Arabidopsis thaliana: one gene and its partners. The protein of the gene in region 1 purifies or fractionates together with the protein of each later gene. This does not show direct contact. Each region holds a gene or a part of one and is shown in the gene's direction. Other genes may lie near its edges.

What was found. The genes of interacting proteins can lie anywhere in the genome.
Region 2: the proteins of ATMND1 (region 1) and AT2G03110 fractionate together in Arabidopsis thaliana (co-fractionation; one large-scale study listed by BioGRID). This does not show direct contact.
Region 3: the proteins of ATMND1 (region 1) and AHP2 fractionate together in Arabidopsis thaliana (co-fractionation; one large-scale study listed by BioGRID). This does not show direct contact.

Annotation. Positions count from the first base shown.
Region 1 is NC_003075.7:14,381,010-14,388,099, forward strand, and holds ATMND1 (Mnd1 family protein), read left to right. Parts: upstream 1-1,826; 5' UTR 1,827-1,975; coding exon 1,976-1,978; intron 1,979-2,447; exon of another isoform or gene 2,448-2,542; coding exon 2,543-2,623; intron 2,624-2,807; coding exon 2,808-2,924; intron 2,925-3,033; coding exon 3,034-3,072; intron 3,073-3,171; coding exon 3,172-3,279; intron 3,280-3,360; coding exon 3,361-3,423; intron 3,424-3,504; coding exon 3,505-3,556; coding exon of another isoform or gene 3,557-3,561; exon of another isoform or gene 3,562-3,697; coding exon 3,698-3,742; intron 3,743-3,838; coding exon 3,839-3,918; intron 3,919-4,014; coding exon 4,015-4,119; 3' UTR 4,120-4,456; downstream 4,457-7,090. Other genes in the region: SNF7.1 (SNF7 family protein), read left to right, coding at 10-81, 332-431, 510-595, 683-774, 945-1,059, 1,139-1,333; RHS16 (root hair specific 16), read left to right, coding at 4,622-4,700, 4,981-6,015, 6,116-6,251, 6,353-6,424, 6,503-6,574, 6,664-6,744, 6,819-6,961, 7,046-7,090. UniProt on the Arabidopsis thaliana protein: Required for proper homologous chromosome pairing and efficient cross-over and intragenic recombination during meiosis.
Region 2 is NC_003071.7:931,557-938,006, forward strand, and holds AT2G03110 (putative RNA-binding protein), read left to right. Parts: upstream 1-3,240; 5' UTR 3,241-3,356; intron 3,357-3,606; 5' UTR 3,607-3,682; exon of another isoform or gene 3,683-3,752; 5' UTR 3,753-3,875; coding exon 3,876-4,256; intron 4,257-4,338; coding exon 4,339-4,419; 3' UTR 4,420-4,537; intron 4,538-4,634; 3' UTR 4,635-4,856; intron 4,857-4,951; 3' UTR 4,952-5,306; downstream 5,307-6,450. Other genes in the region: SPP (signal peptide peptidase), read left to right, coding at 5,998-6,037, 6,346-6,450.
Region 3 is NC_003070.9:4,564,495-4,571,742, forward strand, and holds AHP2 (Tat-binding protein 1(Tbp-1)-interacting protein (TBPIP)), read left to right. Parts: upstream 1-3,440; 5' UTR 3,441-3,513; coding exon 3,514-3,541; intron 3,542-3,648; coding exon 3,649-3,674; intron 3,675-4,034; coding exon 4,035-4,302; intron 4,303-4,388; coding exon 4,389-4,459; intron 4,460-4,545; coding exon 4,546-4,734; intron 4,735-4,817; coding exon 4,818-4,916; 3' UTR 4,917-4,923; intron 4,924-4,953; exon of another isoform or gene 4,954-5,127; coding exon of another isoform or gene 5,128-5,775; intron 5,776-5,845; 3' UTR 5,846-5,855; coding exon of another isoform or gene 5,856-5,975; 3' UTR 5,976-6,087; downstream 6,088-7,248. Other genes in the region: PP2AA3 (protein phosphatase 2A subunit A3), read right to left, coding at 13-195, 369-473, 801-881, 976-1,117, 1,306-1,385, 1,498-1,610, 1,843-2,089, 2,462-2,854; AT1G13340 (Regulator of Vps4 activity in the MVB pathway protein), read right to left, coding at 5,128-5,775, 5,856-5,975, 6,088-6,549. UniProt on the Arabidopsis thaliana protein: Involved in bivalent formation and segregation of homologous chromosomes in meiosis.

The DNA of each region.
Region 1 (7,090 bases):
AGCAAAATCATGATGAATCGGCTATTCGGGAAACCCAAGCAGGAGGCTAATGCTCTCCAAACTTTAGACAAGCTTAACGAGGTATCATCTACTTATCTACTTCTCTCTCTCAATTTACGTTCGATCTGAAAGAAATATCGATCTCTCTGTGTACTGATCTCTGTACTGTTTGTTTAATCTTAAACTTAAATCACCATAAGACATCACTTCAAATCCGATTCTCGTTTATATTTAATACTCAAAAACGATTGAATTGGGGATTTCTGAGTACAATTTATATGATCGTTTGCTTTTAAACCATATTCAAATTTTGTTGATTTGTTCATTGCAGACGCTTGAGATGCTAGAGAAAAAGGAGAAAGTACTCTTGAAGAAAGCTGGTGCAGAGGTTGAGAAGGCAAAAGAATACTCCCGGGCTAAGAACAAACGAGGTATGACCTCTTATTTATTATGACTCATGTGTGTTGCTAATCACTGGAGTACTTAAAAGCTGTATTGGGTTTTTGCAGCGGCTATACAGTGTTTGAAAAGGAAGAGGTTATATGAGGGACAAGTCGAACAGCTTGGGAATTTCCAGCTCCGTATTCATGATCAAGTGAGTTTGTTTTAAGATTGTTAACTATAAACTATATAGCAGTAATTAGATGAATTTATTGGGATCTTATATCTTTTTGTCATACAGATGATTATGTTAGAAGGTGCAAAAGCAACAACCGAAACTGTTGATGCATTGAGGAGTGGAGCTTCTGCAATGAAGGCAATGCAGAAAGCAACGTAAGTGTTCATCACATTTTCACCATATTACTCTTTACTACCATTTTAACCGTCATCAGTTCTGGGAATCGTTAATACGAGCTTGGTATTCAAAATACTTATGCTTTTCTTGTGCTTGAATGCTTTAACATTTCTAGTGCCTGACTAACTCAAAACACAATATTTTGCAGAAATATTGATGATGTGGATAAGACCATGGACGAGATCAATGAGCAAACCGAGAACATGAAACAGATCCAAGAAGCATTGGCGACTCCAATGGGGGCAGCGGCTGACTTCGACGAGGTAACTTTCTTGTACCCAAATGATCATATATTTTTCAACTAATAATGACTTTTGTCTAAGAAAAACTTCTCTTTGATAGGATGAGCTTGCAGCAGAGCTTGATGAACTAGAAAGTGAAGAGCTTGAATCGCAACTTCTACAGCCGGCAACAACAGCTCCTCCATTGCCTTCAGTTCCAGTGCCTGCAGGGCGTCAACCGGCTCGTCCTGTTCCCCAGAAGCGGACTGCTGAGGAAGAAGAACTCGCTGCATTACAGGCTGAGATGGCCCTCTAAGGTCTCTTCTATCTATAATCAAAGCAAAATCAATCAATTTGCTTACAGACTATGGATTTGTAATTTAACTAGTTTTGCAATTGGCTTGGTTTAACTGCAGGTTATTCACCTCTCCGAGCAGAGACATGTATGCATTGATAGACACGAACAGACGATGTATATAAGGATCTGAATCAGATTAATTCGGAGCGAAAAACTTTTATAATCCCCGTCGTTAATGTTATCTGCAATTTGAGTGTTCTTCACATAATTTATCTTTTGTAATTTTTGTATCTTTTTATGACACTTTTTCCTTTGGTTAATAATCACTTTACTCCTATGTTCATCACTTTCGCCTGATAAGACTACTCATGAATAGTCAACCATATACGTTGACTTCGCTGCTTTAACAAACATCATGCCGTTTTGGTACCATAAAATTGGACTCCGTGTCGTTTTAAGGTTAAATTCAAATTAATTGGAATAAAAAATGAAACAGAAAGCGAGGGATAATAACCCGCTTAAGTTTTCAAGGCTTCTTCTACAATTCTCTCATTTCGAATTTGATAAAGAGAGGAGACGATAGTGAGGGAAGAGAGTGAGAGAGAGCTGTAGCAGTGTTTGAAATCCTTTGGATTGCATCACCAGGAGCAAGAGATCACGATGGTAATATACTCTGGACGAATGTTCTCTACTTGTGATTTTGTTTCGCTAATGAACCTCTGTGATTTGTGCATTTTCCTGGGAAGATCGAGTGATTATTCTCTATGATTCTATGAATCGTGATTATCTTACACTGATGATCTTAGCTTGTGATTCTTCGACTTACAAGAGAATTTTGGATGTATTGATTCGACCTATTTGTTTGAATGTTTAGTAGTCATCGTTATGTGTTTCTCTTACTCTTCGAAGAAATTTGTTTAAACTTATCGTTCATCGGTAGTAATGTTTCTATCTTCCGTAGTTCATTACAAATTTGTGTGAGGAATTTCCGCAAACACTTGGACTGCATGACGCGAATCGATAGGTTCTCGAATTAGCATTTATCTAGCAGCCAATTCTCGCAATCAGTGTAGTCGCTGAGTTGACTGTATATATTTTTGACATTTTCGATCTGGAAACTATTTGTTGACAGATCATTTGTTGGATTTCGTCATTGAAGCTCTGAAGTTTTTTTTCGTCATTCTCGTATCAACTGAATCGCTGCTTTCTATTGTTGATGATATTCAGTCTAAGAAACGGGGACTTTCGCTGGAGGAGAAACGAGAGAAGATGCTTCAGATATTCTATGAGTCTCAAGACTTCTTCCTAGTGAGCACTTTCTTTAGTTTTTACAACTTGCTAATTTTTGGACGCCTTTGAACTAGCTTTATCTACCAAGTGATCTGATATCTAGAGTCGTGAAGTGCATATACTGCCTAAATTTGTTGCTATTGAACTTTTGGGTTTGTGATACAAGCACTTATGGGTCTCTACTTTTGTAAAAAAATTTCAGCTAAAGGAACTTGAGAAGATGGGGCCGAAGAAGGGTGTAATTAGTCAGTCTGTGAAAGATGTTATCCAGAGTTTAGTCGATGATGATCTTGTTGCGAAAGACAAGATTGGAATTTCTGTGAGTAGCTTAGTGTTCCTATGTTGGATCTTTTTATTTCATTTGTTGCCATATAGTCCTTGTCTCTGTTATATGTTGTTTGACGGTGTTCATTATTTTGCAAATGAAGATCTACTTTTGGAGCCTTCCCAGCTGTGCTGGCAATCAAGTGAGTCACCGTTCTGTATCCTGAGATGACATCAAAAAGATTCATATTAATTTGAGCATAGCGAAATTCATTGTTTCTGATCTCATTTTGAATGAACAGCTTAGGAGTGTTCGCCAGAAACTTGAATCTGATCTTCAGGGTAGTAACAAAAGGTTAGCAGAACTTGTTGATCAGTGTGAGGCCCTAAAGAAGGGAAGGGAAGAATCGGTAAGTATTTTCAGTATTGTAGAATTAATGCTCGAATAAGCTTACGTGTGCTTTTCACCAGAATTGCTGTTCTTGCTGCAGGAGGAACGAACAGAGGCCTTGACGCAACTCAAAGATATTGAAAAGAAACACAAAGATCTGAAGGTCAGATTATACAGACTATCTGTTTGCATAGAGCTATTCACATGCTTAACAAGTTGCTAACAGTTTCTTCTTCTTAAACAGAACGAGATGGTACAATTTGCTGACAACGATCCAGCTACTTTGGAGGCAAAGAGTTAAGTTCTGCATAATACGTTACTTTTGTTTTGTGTTAGATCTCCTATATGGTTTTCCCGGTCTTCGTGGAGCAGAAATAAGAATCAATCTTGTGCTTTACTAGCTGTATCAATGTGTATATTCCTTCTAATTTTGACAGGGAATGCAATTGAAGTTGCTCACCAGTCGGCTAACAGATGGACAGGTATTTCATTTCTAAAACTTGGGAATGTGTTTTCAGTTTTAATACTTACGTAATTTTCACTGCAGCCTAGATTATAATTCTTTCAAACTTACTCAGATAACATCTTCACACTGCGACAATGGTGTTCAAACAACTTCCCCCAGGCCAAGGAACAGCTAGAACATCTATACACGGAGGTATCTTCCAGATCTTTTCACTTCAAAAGGCTATAAATTCCACATTTCACATTCTCATACATGAAGGAGAGACTAAATCAGCTGGGTAACTTTCAGGCGGGAATCACTGAGGACTTTGATTACATAGAGTTATCATCATTCCCTTTGAGCTCATCCCATGAAGCTGATACCGCAAAGCAGCTAGTACAAGATGAAGCTTAGTTCTAATACTCTCCAGCATAACAGTTAAAGAAACAATAGCTTAAGTAAAAAATCTTTTCACTATCCTTTTAAGTTTTCTGGTTTTAAAGGTTGCAACAGTCTGTAATTCTCTATGTGACCCAATCATCTAATGTCAAAACTCGGTTACAAATTCTGTGGTCAGAAAAGATTTTTATTTTCTTTGTATCTGTCGGCTATGTCCAAGCTTGGCTATGTTTTGTTATAATATTTTATTGGAGTTATATATATATCATGCGTTAGTTGTTGACCCACTGGTTACTTCTTGATAGCTGTATTACCATTTTATATTCTTTCTTGGCCGCTTTTTTCAGTCGTGAGCAGCACTTATGTTATACACCTCCAGGTCAATTTTGTTGCTACCAGAAGAGGAAATGGGCATAGACTTTGTACTTTCTAGTCTTTTGTGTTTTTGTGTTATCTTAAACGCAGGTTGTCTGTTTTTCTGACGATGATGAGCTGAGCTTTACAAAATAAGAAGAACATGGGAGCTCACTCTGTTTTTCTCATCCTTTTTTCCGTCATTGCCATTGCCATTGTAGTACATGGCCAAGGCCAAGCAGGTTCGTGAGTCTCATTCTCGCTTATTTTCCTCTGTTAGAGTCTGTTTTGATTTGAAAATGAGCAATCTTCAGACCAAAGATTTTTGAAGTTTTGATATATGTGGTTGCATTTTGGCCAAAACCGTGTTCTGATTATTGGTTTGACATGATAAGTGAGGTCCAAGTCTGTTTCTATGATTGAATGCTTTAGGTTCTAAAATTTAAACCTGCATTGGAATTTTGATGAAAATTTTCTCAACGTTGTAGAATTAATCAAAACCCTTACCTTCTTCTGGTCCAGGTTTCATCAGCATAGATTGTGGGTCACCCCCTAATATTAACTATGTAGACACTGATACTGGTATCAGTTACACCTGGGATGCACCTTTCATCAACGCTGGAGTAAATCTGAACGTCTCTGAAGAATACGGTTACCCGAAAAACCCGGTTTTGCCTTTCCCGCTTGCTGATGTAAGATCTTTTCCTCAAGGAAACAGGAACTGTTACACCTTAACCCCCTCCGATGGAAAAGGGAATCTTTATCTCATCAGAGCTTCGTTTATGTATGGAAACTACGATGGTAAAAATGCTTTACCTGAGTTTGATCTCTACGTAAACGTGAATTTCTGGACCTCGGTGAAACTCAGAAATGCTTCTGAGAACGTCATCAAGGAGATCCTCAGCTTTGCAGAGTCAGATACAATATATGTTTGCCTTGTGAACAAAGGTAAAGGAACTCCTTTTATTTCAGCGTTGGAGCTTCGACCAATGAACAGCTCCATCTATGGAACTGAGTTTGGAAGAAATGTCTCATTGGTACTCTATCAAAGATGGGATACAGGATATTTGAATGGAACAGGACGGTACCAAAAGGATACATATGATCGTATTTGGTCTCCGTACTCTCCAGTGTCTTGGAATACAACTATGACTACTGGGTATATCGATATTTTTCAGTCTGGTTATAGGCCACCAGATGAAGTTATTAAGACAGCTGCTTCGCCTAAAAGTGACGATGAACCATTGGAACTGTCTTGGACATCAAGCGATCCAGATACTCGGTTTTATGCGTACCTTTATTTTGCAGAACTTGAAAATCTCAAGAGGAATGAGAGCAGAGAAATCAAGATATTCTGGAATGGGTCGCCTGTTTCAGGAGCTTTTAACCCCTCTCCTGAGTATTCAATGACAGTGTCTAACTCACGAGCTTTCACTGGTAAAGATCACTGGATTTCTGTTCAGAAGACCGCAGAGTCAACGCGTCCACCAATACTCAATGCTATTGAGATTTTTTCAGCACAATCTCTGGATGAATTTTACACCAGAATTGACGATGGTGTGTTCATCTCTACTTTGTTAGTCGTCTACGTATATTTTGTTCTGGTCTTTAATTTTCACTGACACTCACAGTTTTCCATTTTCTATTGGTAATGCAGTTCAAGCCATAGAAAGCATAAAATCAACGTATAAAGTGAATAAGATTTGGACTGGTGATCCTTGCTCTCCCAGACTCTTCCCTTGGGAAGGTATTGGATGCAGCTACAACACTTCTAGTTATCAAATCAAGTCCCTGTAAGTCATTCATTCATTTCAACCTGAAAAAACTCATTGTGTAATTTCCCTCAAACTTAAGTTTTGCTGATGAGCTTGTTTCTGTATTTTGCTGCGAGAAGAAATCTTAGTTCAAGTGGATTACATGGACCAATAGCGTTCGCATTTAGAAATCTCTCCCTTCTTGAGTCATTGTAAGTATACAAACACATTGAAACTTGCCACCACTTTATTCACAGTAACTATAATAGTGGTGTGCATTGTTTTCCCAGGGATTTATCAAACAACAACCTCAAAGGAATTGTGCCGGAATTTTTGGCTGATCTAAAATATCTGAAGTCCCTGTGAGTTGAGCACATAGAGAACCTCGTTGAGTTTGTATTGATAGACAATCAAAATAGTATTTTGTCTCTGACATTAATTTGTGTCGCAGGAATTTGAAAGGAAATAACTTGACTGGGTTTATCCCAAGATCTCTTAGGAAAAGAGCAACGGCTAATGGACTTGCACTCAGGTACACGGAACCATAGTCATTTTGCCGCGTCTCTACCATTTTCAAAAGCTTATTGATTTCCTCTTTGTCTCCAGTGTCGATGAACAAAACATTTGTCACTCACGTTCATGTCGGGACGGGAACAGAATCATGGTGCCAATAGTTGTATCCACATTAGTGATTATTCTCATTGCCGCCTTGGCTATCATATGCATCATGCGAAGGGAAAGCAAAATAAGTAAGTACAGAGTGTCTTTTACTTAGATTTAAATTTAATAAGGTAGAATTAATGCTGAAAGAAAACGAGTGTTTAATTTCCTAGTGTATTCAGGAGCATATTCAGGACCACTTCTGCCTTCGGGAAAGA
Region 2 (6,450 bases), on another chromosome or scaffold:
TCTCACCGCTACCAACACGTCTTCTCCGATTAACTCGATCAATCAAATTAAACGATTTTTGATGAAAAAAATCTAAACAATTAACAAATTTCGAAGAGGTAATCCTTTCCTTCTCTATTATACTTTGTTAGGAAGAGAGAGAGAGATCGAGAGAGAGAGAGAGAGAGTTGTAATGAGATTTGTTTGGATTTTGTGAGGTGGAAGATGATGTTTGGACGCAACAAACGCAGGAACTCCGATCTACTTCAATTTAGAATTTAGGAGTGACAAGGTAAAACAGTCATGTTTGAGAGAGAGAAGTGCCATACTCCACAAAGACTATAAGAAATGCCTAATTAGACAATACCCATCACTTTCTAGTACCAATCTCATAATTGATCCATTGTAAACATGTAACCATATGTTGCTACTTCTTAGTTTCCTGTTTTTATAAATGAATCTCTAGCATATATGTCTCTCATCTTTGTCTTTCTAGAGTTGGAAAGAGATGATCATTGTGCGGGTCATTCATCTTCAAGTATACAAACTACCAATAGATTTCATTCCTAGACAAACAGATTATACTTTAAGCTTATAGTGTTTCAATAGTCTTTGAACTTCTAATCCAATTTATTTTCAGGCTATCACCTATATTATATATTGTTGACGTTTCAAGTGGTAACATTAGGAAAGAGAAGCAGAGGAGTTGATGGTTATGATGAGGATGATGTAAGGTGTAAATGATGATTCTTGAGTTTGCATTATCAGTCATGGATAAGATTATGATCAGAGGAAATAAGTAACTAAGTATGTAGGAGTGGCGTACTAGAAGGATATATCATGTCATATGCTTAATTCACTAAACAAACAATTAAAATTAGGGTTTATTAGCAAACTAGACACTTTTTCAAAAGTTATTTGAGAAGTAGGTAGTTTTTTTTACATATTAGAGAAATAGATACTTCTTTTGCTATTGTGAGATAGAAAATATGTGAGATAGAAGGTATATGACTGAAAAACAAAATAAGTGTTAAATACAATTGTACCCTTTTGTGTTGTGAGAAATAACTTTTGGAATAGGCCCAAATCTTTTAAAGATAATGGATCAAATACTATTTTCATAGCCCAATTAATTTAACATGTTATTTGGCCCCAAAAAAAATTCCAATCGTTTTTGTTTTTTCAGTTCATTTCTTCCAACGGTTAAATTTAACATTATATCACTTTTGTCGATTAAAACAAAATTTTGGAAAATCCTATGGTGTACACAATTTTTAATGGAATACGGAATGGTGTACACCATTAAAATCATGATATTGGTGACAGGATGGTGTACACAATTTTAAATGATTTAATATAATTAAACTTAATGGTGTACATGTTGGTGTACAATATTATGATATACGAGATTTGTGACAGAATGATGTACACAATTTTAAATGACAGCGTGTGAAATTGGTAGACATAACGTACAACATTTAGGGTATACTAATAGGAAATGTATAAACCATTATTTTAATTTACTGGTGTACATCATTTTGTACACTGGATTTGTACACTATTTCAAAAACTTTCAAATACACCAAATTATTCTCGATTTTATAGATTCGGTGTACAATATTTTTAAATATATAACCTATTATTTCAATTTATTGGTGTACATCATTTCGTACACTGATGTTTGTACACTATCTCATAGACTTTCAAGTATGCCAAATAGTTCTCTAGATTCGTGTACAATATTTTTGAAGGTGTACGATAGACGATTTAAAGATGTTACATACCCGCAATAGTAAAATTAAAATCTTAGTATTTTACTATTAAATTTAGTTTAGCTAAATATAACAAAATTAATATTTTAAAATGTATTAAAATTGAAAATGTTAGTATAGTAAAATGTTATAATATTACATATCCGCAAAATGTAACAAAATTAAAATCTTTACAATAAATAAAAAGATTAGTATTTTAAAATGTATACAATGATTGAAAGAAAATATGGGTTTTAGTTGATATCAAGCTCATGAGCAATTCGAAATTGGAGATGTTATTGAGCTGCTTTTAGTGAGGCCCAATTTATTTCATCAAAACAACAGAAGAGTAAAATTGTACTTTACTAAAAACTGTATTAGAAGAGGAGTTCTATTAGAGAAAAGAGATAAAAGTACTCATTCTTCCTATTTCTAAAAAAAGTACCCATTCCTCAAATTACTTTTGCAAAAAGTGCCTACTCTCCAACTTATCTCTTAAAATTATTAAGAGTATTAGTATCTTCTTAGGGAATTAATCGATAATTTTTTCTTAACATACAACTACAAACATATGATTTCTACTTTTAAATTCAAGAATCTGGTAATTTGTTTCTGGAAAATCTAATTTACTTCTATTCATATTTAAAATGTAATAATTCATTTGATATTAGCTTATGGTTAACTAACTTAAACATTCTATCGTTCAGTATAGATCGGGTGTAACCCGGACTATCCCCTTACAAATGGTCAAAATCAACCTAGAATATTTGTTGGCGGTTTTTTCATACCTAAACTACAATACCTAGTAAATATCAACCTAAACTCACTAAAAATTCAGGCTAGACTATATAAAAATAGCCAAAATCCACATATGCTAAAATGGTGTTAGTTAACAGCATAAAGCGTTGAGTCAACCAATACCATGGCAATGACGACGCATCGAAGTTGAGTAAAACAATGTCGTTTCGTGAGTTTAGGGTTCTCGAATCAAAGACTCTTTGGCGATTGCTTTAGCGATTCTTTGATTTGAGAACCCTAAACTCACGAAATAAAGTCGTATAATTACTCATCTACGATGCCCCGTTATTGCCACAATGTCGGCTGACTCATCGCCGTAAGTGATTGATTAACACTGTTTTGGCATATGTTGATTTTGACTATTTTCATATAGTTTAGGTTGAAAATTTAATTTTTTTAGTGAGTTTAGGTTGATATTTTTCAAATATCGTAGTTTGGGTATAAAAAACTGTCGGAAAATAGTGTGAGTTGATTTTAGCTATTTTCCCTTCATTAATAGAAAACATATATATACCACATAGCATCAATTCAAATATATATACCATATAGCATCAATTCAAATAGTAAATTTGACATTAATATCGCTTTATTTTATAATGTGGCTACGTGTTGTCACGACGCAAGAAAAATTTGAAAAGCCCTTGCTAGGCCTTTTAGATTCCTATAGACGTTAATGAGCCCAAAGACTTTCTTCATCTTTCACTACTCTTTTCAATTTCAAATTCCAAAAACCACAGAAAGAAAAAGACGGAGAGAGGCCGTTGCATTTTCCGGCGAGACGACGCTTCTTCGGACGGATTCACCGATCATCGGTTGTTTCATTCTCTGGTAACAGTTTACTGTTTTCGAGTTTTCCGTTTTCTAAGCAATGTTCAAGTACTATCAAGATTTATCGATCGGTTGGTTGCGTGAGAATTGATTTTCGTATTGATCTTCGTTGATTAGGTTTCTTGATGTGAGCTTTACATAATCTATCTATAGAGAAACGAAGAAGGATTTTGGTGTTATGAATGTTTGTTTCTGTTGCTTATTTGAAACCTAACTTAAACCCTAATTTTCTGTTTCGTATGTTCTTCAGCGTCCTCTGGCTTTGTGATTTCAGAACTTGTTTCACTAAATCGTTGCTAAAATGGCTCATTCAAGGAACAATTATGGTAAGAGATCTTGTTTTAGTTAGTTTTCATATTTGATAAGAGGTAAGAGAGTTTTTTTCTGATGATACAGATAATAATGGTGCTGGATTAGAAGATACTGTGTATCGTTACTTGTGTCTTGTGAGAAGAGCAGGGAGTTCTTGGGAGAGGTGGTGAGATTGCAAAATAGATTAGGTCTGAGACTAAAGCAAACATGAGGGTAAACGAGGCATTGCCTGGTTGTGATGAGCGTGTTGTGACTATATATTCTAATAGCGAGGAGAGAAATCGTATTGAAGATGACAATGAGGATTTTGTCTGTCCTGCTTTTGATGCTCTTTTCAAGGTTCATGATATGGTTGTTGTTGAAGAATTTGACGATGATGATGATTATAATGACAATGATGAGTATAGTGAGGGACAAACAGTTGTTACTGTGAGGATGCTTGTGCCTTCTGATCAAATTGGTTATCTTATTGGCAAAGGTGGACCAATTATTCAAACGCTGCGTAATGACACTAATGCTCAGATTCGTGTTAGAAATGATAATCTACCCATGTGTGCTTTGGCATTGAGTCATGATGAGCTTCTTCAGGTAATGTCTTCGAGATTTGAGTTAGTGTGTGTGGTTGTGTTTCGGATTTAGCTTATGAATGTTGTTGTTGGTTGACTTTCAGATAATTGGAGATCCTTCTGCTGTTAGAGAAGCTCTTTACCAAGTTGCCTTTCTGCTTTATAATAATCCGTCACGATTTTAGAACTACTTTCTGTCTTCCTCTAGTAGTACACTGCAACATCAACCTGGTAGAATTCTGATGAATCCTGCAGTAACGACCTCTCATAAAAATTGCTCGTGAGAATGAGGAGATGGTCCAAGTAATAAATCATGACCACCCTTTATTGCCTAGTGCTTGTCGATTTTGTGTGTTTGAAAGAGACCCTTAAACAATGTTTCTTTATCTTGTGGTTTTAGATAACAGGAAGTCTTGATGCAGCAATCAAAGCTCTTACACAAGTGATGCTGCGTTTAAGAGCCAATGTATTTGACATGGATCGTGGTCTTGTCTTGCTTCCAACTTTATTTCCTTATATTTCTCAAACAATATAGACTTCGAGCAAGTCTAGGCACAGAAAAGGCGAGAACCATCCTCATGGTTCAGAGGAATTTGCTAGGAATGAAGACTATGGTCAAATGGTATGATTGTCATAAAAAAATATATGATTCTGGTAACCAAATTTACTCATAGAGATTCATTTTTGATGATGTCTGTCTATTTTCTTCTTTTGCAGAACGTAAATTCCCCAATAAGAAACCGAGTTTATTGATCACCAAACCATGTCAAAAGGTTATCTTTCTATGTTCTAAACACTTAGATTCTGGAATATACTTTTTATAAAATACTTGGGCGTTTTTTTGGAATCCAAGAAAAAAGAGGATTCGAGTAGTTTTGCGCCTCAAGAATCTACAAATGCAGGAAGTTCTTAAAAGAATGATATATATATTTTTTTGTTTTTGTCATCTTCATGAAAGAATACAATGTTTCTTTCATTTTTCGTATTCGTATTTAACTATATTTGAGTAATCTTGTTCATCATTAGTGGTTCCAAAGCACTGTTATGAACTCGGACGCGTCTTTGCTACTAAGTGTGTCTAACTTGCAGCCAATTGTTCCAATGGTATGATCCACTTAAAAGTATAGTTGATTTTCATGTATTTTAATCAAATGGACCAAGACCAGTGGAAAGAGTCACATATAATCGGCTCCCTTCTTTTCTTTCCGTTTACTGTACTTCCATAAGTCAAATTTTGTTTAGATGTCACACTAATATTTTGTTTTTTTGTGTGTAAAAACTTACTAAAAGAGAAAAAAAATACTAAAAACTATACAATATAATACTTTTACATTGATTATTTATTAGGTCTTTAGCGAATTTTTGACATTGATTTATATGTTTCCAGTTTTGTTATCCGTTGAAGGAGAAAAGTATCGGTTACCATTGTATTGACTAACCATAAAAGAAAACAGATATGCATGTGTGATGTGGTGATGAATGCAATAATCAACCAATTAAAATGCGAACGTAATGTCATAGACACGTGAGCGTTACCAATGAAATAAGTCTGTCACGTAATTAGGTCACAGTCCCGTAACTTTCGTGGTCTTCGAGTATCTTAATTTTCTTTCCTTAACTCTTCTCTTTCTCTTCTTCTTCTTCTTCATCTTTTTTTTTTTAACAGATCTGGTGGAAATTTTATCTTTTGACCCCACCACTGGATCTCTCTATATACACATTCATCTGAGTAATAGAGTAAAAACGAAACACAAGAAGCAATTATGAAGAATTGTGAGAGATTTGCTAATCTCGCTCTCGCAGGTTTTTCTCTCTTTCACTCTTACAATTGTTACAATTCGTCTCGTGAATTTCAATTTTCGATCGATTTTTACGATCATGTGATTGTTTCGCGTTATGGGTTTCTTCTGATTGTGATTTAGGCTTCGAATTTGTTAACTTTTTCGGTTTTAGGTTTGTTCTTAGAATTTGCTGGAAAATATTTATTTTTTTGTTCGTTTTAGATCAGTTTGGTTTCTCTAGGGTTTAGGCTTGATGGGTGTGATTGATTGTTTTTGATTATGGTGTAAAGATTCAAAACTGAGTGGTTTTTGTTTTTGTTTTGGTTACAGGTTTGACATTGGCACCACTCGTTGTGAGAGTAAATCCAAATTTGAATGTTATTCTCACAGCATGTATCACTGTTTATGTGGGTTGCTTTCGTTCGGTCAAGGATA
Region 3 (7,248 bases), on another chromosome or scaffold:
AGAATGAGGGACCTTGTCTTGTAACCATTGCATGCAAAGAGCACCAAGCTTCTCATCAAAGAAGCCTACACCTAATTGACTGGCCAACAAGGGAATATACTCGATTATAGCCAGACGTACTCTCCAGTGCCTGTCTTCAGCAAGTTCTACAATGGCTGGCAGTAACGATTGTGATAGTAGATCAATCCCAATAACCTGGCAATTTTAAGGAAAAAAAATCGAATCATTATGAAAAATGGATGGACAAAGAATTTGCTGTCAAGTAGTCATTGACTTGACCAAAACATGATACAGCTCCTTTGAACATGTGGGAAAAAATAGAAACCCAATGTCGTACAAAGAGATGAGTAACTTGGTCAATAGCAAACCTGGTTCACTTGGTCAAGTTTGCTGATAATGTTTAAGCGTACATCAGGAAATTCGTCTTTCAATAGAGAAAGAAAGATTGGAAGAAGATGCTCAATTGTTGCATCCTGAAATGAATATCAATGCCAAGTTAAAAGCTGCAAAATCCAACTAAATATCTTGTGTAGAAAAACATAGTGAGGTTTTCTTATATAGATTATTGTTGCGAGAACCTTCCAGGCACAGTTAAAAAAATTCCTAAAGATGACAGTGACTAGGACGAAGAAGATATATAGATGGTTTCAAATAAAAGAAAAAATCTTTATCTCTAAGATGCTAAATACATAGAATATTATGAGCTTACACTCCAAACTATAGAGCCAAATGAATTTTTGTATAGATGACAGTATTCATGATATGAGAGGCAAATTGTATCGGTTTTTAATTCTGCTTACCTTACCCAAGACTGGAGCCATTCCCATTATAACTGATGCCAATGCAGATCTGACGTGCTGAGAAGAGTCTGATGATAATTCCTACGTGTAGATTTATAGGTAAGCTTAGCAAACACCGACAGTATTTTGGTCCTTTGCATAATATGAAATCAACACACTCTTCTTAAGTGTGTACCTTTACACAGGGAAGAATGTGCTGGATAGCGAGTTCAGGGTTTAAAATGCGACAAAACTTGGTAACTTTTCCAGCAGCTGCTATCCGAACTTCTGCCTCATTATCACAAAGTAGACGAGCATATGCAGGCACCAGATCCGTCCTTAATACATAAGGCACATGAGAAAGTATAAAAAACGACTCAAAGAAATTTATTAAGATGACTCAACAAACATGGACTTCCAAGTACCAAATACCTCTGAAGTCAGTAATCTATTGTTTGATATAGAATTGCATACTAAAGGTCAATACTACATTAAACCATAACTAACTTCAACCATCACTGCTTACCTAGTTGGCTCCGGTCCTACAGCTTCACAAAGTTCATAGAGCTGATTTGCAACCATATAACGCACACGCCAGGACTTATCCTGCTCAAAGACGAAAAAAATCAAGATAAAGCAGCTCATACATATCTGCCTTACAGCTTTCCCATAAAGCTCATCAATAGAATTTTTTTATCATATTCACACATTTATTTACCTGCGAGAAATTGACAATCACAGGAAGAATGTGTGCAACACAGTCCTGGGGCTCCAACAATTTCCCAAGAGCAGCACAACCCTCAACAGCCAATAATCTAACCGAATCTTGATCTGATATCAATGTCAATAAGATACTTAAAATCTGTAATATTATAATATAAAAAGACACTGAAGCTGAGATGTAGACAACCGTAATTCTGCTTAACTTCAGCTAATGGTCAGTGTTCAATGCAGTAACCCTAATACTTGCCTATTACACATCAGCCACCCCCATAACTAGGCTTGATGAAAATTGTAAGAGTATATGCTGGAAAAACGAAACATATAATAAGGGAGAGCATACCATCTTGCGTAAGATCCTCAAACATGGACATAATGTCTGTCTTCAAATGAGCTGATTCAATTGTAGCAGCAAACTTCCCCAAATTAGTTGCTGCAGCTCTGCGCACCATTGGCATGTCATCTTGACAAAGCTGACCATATATTGATCTTAGCTCCGTCTTTAGCACATCTGGGGCACTTGGGTATGCAATATGGAAAATCCCACATGCTGATACTCTGGCTGTGAACCATTCACCAGCTGAAAGTCGCTGTTACACAATGACAGTGTTCAGTAATGCTTAAGTCGGTTTCACATTACGAGCACCTATACCGAGGTATGTATGGTCACATACACAACCACAACCCAAAAGAGCGCTAAAGCCAGAGCGATGTTCTCTTAGATCAACCAAAATGGATGTAAACAACTTCAACCTACCAATTTCCCAAAACACCTATAAGGGGAACACTGAACAAGAAAAGCATATTTCCAAACTTTGGGGGACAATTGACAAAGGACCCCAAAAAATCTATGTTCTTCTGTTTTAGTGGCTTAATAATATTAAGTTTGACAGAGCATGGAAAGGAATCAATAAAATCGACCAAAGAGATTTGATAAAATAAGTAAACCAGCCTTATCTAACCTTAGCCAGAGGAGTGAAATGCTCAACCAAGTCACTCTCCCTCATCTGAGCACCAATTCTACAAAGTGAATCCACAGCTTTCTCCCTCACGCAAGTTTCCTCAACAGTGGATAGAGTCTCCAAAGGTGGAAGCAGAACATATGCATACTCAACCCCTCCTACATACAGAATAAAACCCCCCAACTCTTCCGCCATAGCCAAAAGCACCTCATCGTCATCGTCATTGTTCTCACTAAGAAATGGAATCAACTCTTTTCTTGTCCTCTCCTCTCCAAGAGCACGAGCAATGATAGAAAGCCGTTTAATAGAGTTCAATCTACGCTGAATATCATCGTTTTTTAGCTCGTCGATAAGCACAGCAATCGGGTATAAAGGCTCATCAACCATAGACATCCTCACCAAAACTCAAATCACTCCCTACCTTCAATCAAACACAAATGTACACAAAGTCAGAATAAAACACAATGCATACATAGACACCATCAATACAAAAGACGATAAAGTTACAAACTTTAAACTCAATTCCGCCTCTGAGATAATTCAAAGGTGACCCATTAGCCTCTAAAAAATGATTAGAATGGAGAACTGAAACTTTGTGCCGTCCCAATCTAGAGAGAAACTATTACCATTCTTAGACTAATAAAGAGAGAAGATCTAAACAATAATTCGATTTGAGATTCTCAATATACAATTGGAAAATGTTTCGAAATTGAAGAAATGATCGAGAATTTACCGATTACGCTGCTTTCCAAGTTCCGAGCGATCTATCAATCAGAAGAACGAGAAATGAGACCGGAGCTCGTCTTTCGCAGCAGCTAAACCATCTTCAAGCTGTGTCCATATAATTGGGCCTGTCAAAGATAAGAACTAAATGGGCTTATGTATAATACATAAAGGCCCATATATCCAACAAATACGACTTCGTTTAATATCTCTCTCGTATAAAGGAAGCTTCTCAGTAACTCTCTTCTTCTTCCTCAGAAAATATCGGAAAAGGAAAAAAGTTGCTCTCGCTTCAGGTTTTTTATTTCCCGCCAATTATTTCGACAAAAATGGCTCCTAAATCGGATAACACCGAAGGTATAATGATATAATCTCTGAAAAAAATCTGCTAGTTCTCTTTGATCTTATTCCTCATTTTGATTTCTCTCTTATTTACTTGTTTCCTGAATTTTTTATTTCTGCAGCTATCGTACTCAACTTTGTCAATGAGGTAAGCACTTCTCTGCGATTCTACATTTTTGCTTTAATTCTAAACGGAGATCACAAACAGATACGACCATAAAAATTAGAATTCGAATTTGAAATTGAGTCTAGGTTAAGGTACGCAGTGATGTTCACATGATTCTGAATCTGGGAATTTAATCACTTGGGTTTCAATTTGTGCTATAAGTTTACACATGAATTTTTCGTTTGAAGCTATTGATATTGACTAGGTTTTAAAAATTGATTGATACAGGTTATATATATATATATATATATATATATATATATATTGCAAGTTTTGTTTCAATCTGTTGTATTATTGTTGTTAGATTTTGATGAATGTGTTGTTGGTACTTTTTTGATGCAGCAAAACAAACCTCTAAACACTCAAAATGCAGCTGATGCTCTACAAAAGTTTAACCTTAAGAAGACTGCGGTGCAAAAGGCACTTGATAGTCTTGCTGATGCTGGAAAAATCACGTTTAAAGAGTATGGTAAGCAGAAGATATACATTGCTAGACAAGACCAGTTTGAGATTCCAAACTCTGAAGAACTTGCTCAAATGAAAGAAGACAATGCCAAACTTCAAGAACAGCTTCAAGAGAAGAAGAAAACTATCAGTGATGTGGAATCAGGTGTGAAAAAACTACTTTTTCTCAGTGGTTTTGAGGATGTGATATAGCTGCTTGGATAATGTTATGTTCTGTGATGTTATTTGCAGAAATCAAGAGTTTGCAGTCAAACTTGACACTAGAAGAGATACAAGAGAAAGATGCCAAACTAAGGAAAGAGGTATATGTTTTTCTTACCTTTTGGTTTTTGTCTTTCTTTGAGTAAGGTTGTTGATAGCTTATAAAGTGATTTCAACTGTGTACCAGGTTAAGGAAATGGAAGAGAAACTGGTCAAACTACGTGAAGGGATTACATTGGTGAGGCCAGAAGACAAAAAGGCTGTTGAAGATATGTATGCGGATAAGATTAATCAGTGGCGCAAGCGTAAGAGGATGTTCAGAGACATTTGGGATACTGTAACAGAGAATTCTCCCAAAGATGTGAAGGAACTAAAGGTGCAAACTCATATTTCTTCAGGAGTTTTTTCTTACAGACTACATCAGCTTCGCCATAATTTTTGACTACTGTTACTTTGCAGGAGGAGCTTGGAATTGAATACGATGAAGATGTCGGTCTAAGTTTCCAGGCATATGCTGACCTAATTCAACATGGTAAAAAGAGGCCTCGAGGACAGTAATTTTCAGGTAAGTTCTTCGAATTTGATTCAAAGTTTTCTAGAAACGTTTCTTGTATAAACACACACATATGCAACTGTACAACATCATTGAAAGCTTATATCCATAAAGAACACAATAATCTTACATCTTTGACCACAAAAAGAACATAGAAAAGTACAAAACTGAGTGATTACACCGTAGATGCACCTGAAAAACTTATAACATTTGTACTTAGTATCCACGAACCTGTCTTGTCCTGACTGAAACTGGACCCTTCAAACCTGCTTTACGCATAATAGGATCTTCAATTGAACGAACCATGTGGTCCACATGTCTTGTATCCGCTCTATTCGAACCAACCATACGATTTTGCTCATCTTTAGACTTACTAATAGTAATAGTCTCAACACTAGGTTGGGTTTCTTCTTCACTATCGTAGATAATAGTATCCTTCTCCAATAGCTTCACAGGGTCTTCTCTGAATGACATCACTGGGACATCAATAATATCTTCTGAATCTGACATCGACCTTTTAGATTCTGACATCACATCCCCTTCCCCTTCTGAAGAATCATCATTACCTTCTTGTTCTTGTTCTGACTCTTTGTTTTCAGAACCATGAAATGAATTTTCCCCACCAATGTTACCCGGACTGTCATGTCCACGAGGAGAAAACTGAGAAAGCTCCACAGCCGCTTGTGCAGCCTCTGCTGCATGAGCTGCTGACTCAAACGCTGCTTGTGCAGCATCAGCCACATCTTTGTACTTCTTCTTTCCTCTCTTGACCGAATCAGATAAACCATAACCTTCTCCTCTGCCATCTTTACTTGTTAGCTTAGTCTTACTAACATCTGATGTTCCCTGCATATTTGTTGTTCCCTGCAAATGTTACAAATTTGATTAGAACATGATTTTTTCAACTTTTTGTTATCTTGGTGGTTAATTGCAGATTTCTATACCTCAGTGGACGTAGAAGCTTGGTCTAGTTTCAGAACAATGTTATTCTCTGCAGCAATCTCCTTCAAAGCCTTCATTCTAACTTCTTTCGGTGGAGGTCTTGTCGACAACTTCTGAATTATCTATAGTAACACCAAAAGAAACATGGAACTCAGTAAGTATTTTGTTCTATCAAGAGAGATATATAACATAACGTATTGAATATAGTATTTGTTGAATCGAGAACTTGCTTACTTTGGGATCAACCCCACAATTACTGCGCAACTCAATAGACCGAGCCGCGAGATCTTTGCCAAAACGCGAAATCAAAACATTACGAATCTCTTGAAGCTCAGGGAATTCACCGATTCTAGAAGCTGCAAATAGCAAACCCGAAACAGCTTCTAGAAGCTCTTCAGGACAATCTCTGTTGTGTTCAAAGAGGTGAATACGATCGAGACAGAGAGTGAAGTAGCCATGGATGAAGAAGAGAACGTCGAGAGTGTTTTGGTCTTTGACGACTTGATCGACTCTATGGTAAGCGTGCTCATGTTGGCCGAGCTTAAGAAGCTCGGTGACATCAGAGATGGCTTGAGAGAGTCTGGCTTGACGCTGGTTCTTGAGAATAGAGAGCCTTGTGAGAGCTAAGGTGATAAGAGACTTGAACTTGTTGGTCTTGAAACTGCGACCAAGCAAAGCGTCAAGCTTCTTCCCCATGGCCGAGTTGCAGAGAAGAGAGGACAGGTAGAGAATAAGAGTTTATGTTGTCTTCCTTTGAATTGGAAGTGTTATAAGAGAGGAAAGAGGAGAAGACGCGTTACGACATACGAAGACTTCTTAGCAACGAAGTTTTCAGAAGTTAGAAAAAACGACCTTAAAGAAGAAAATGTGGTACGAATTACGAAATAATAAGCCAAATAATAATAAAAACAAAATGGACCGCTATTTAATATTGCGCCATCGGATTAATTATTTTTAGACCAAATTTAAATCCATTGTTGAAAAAAATGAGTATCGTATCTGATTAATCCAAAATGGGTAGCATATCCGAATACGCTATATCCTTAAGAAACGTTTTGGGCAGTTTCTTCAAACATCTAGATCTTATTACTCTTTCTTATTTTGAATTTTCTTTATGTCCACCTAAAGTTATTAGAATATCTTGTGAAAATTATTTGAAGAAAAGCTACATGAACCAGTCTCAAAACATGAAACTAGTAACACTTTGATTAAATAAAGAGAAATAGTCATCGGTACCAGTATCCACATCTGAACCGGCCATAACTTGTACCAGTCTAGTCTTAAAACATGAAAATGCATGTAAGATTCAGGTTTCCCCTATAAATTGCAGTCTTTAAAGTTTGTAATTTGTATAATGTGAACCATGGACCCATAATTATTGTCTCATGACGAGGA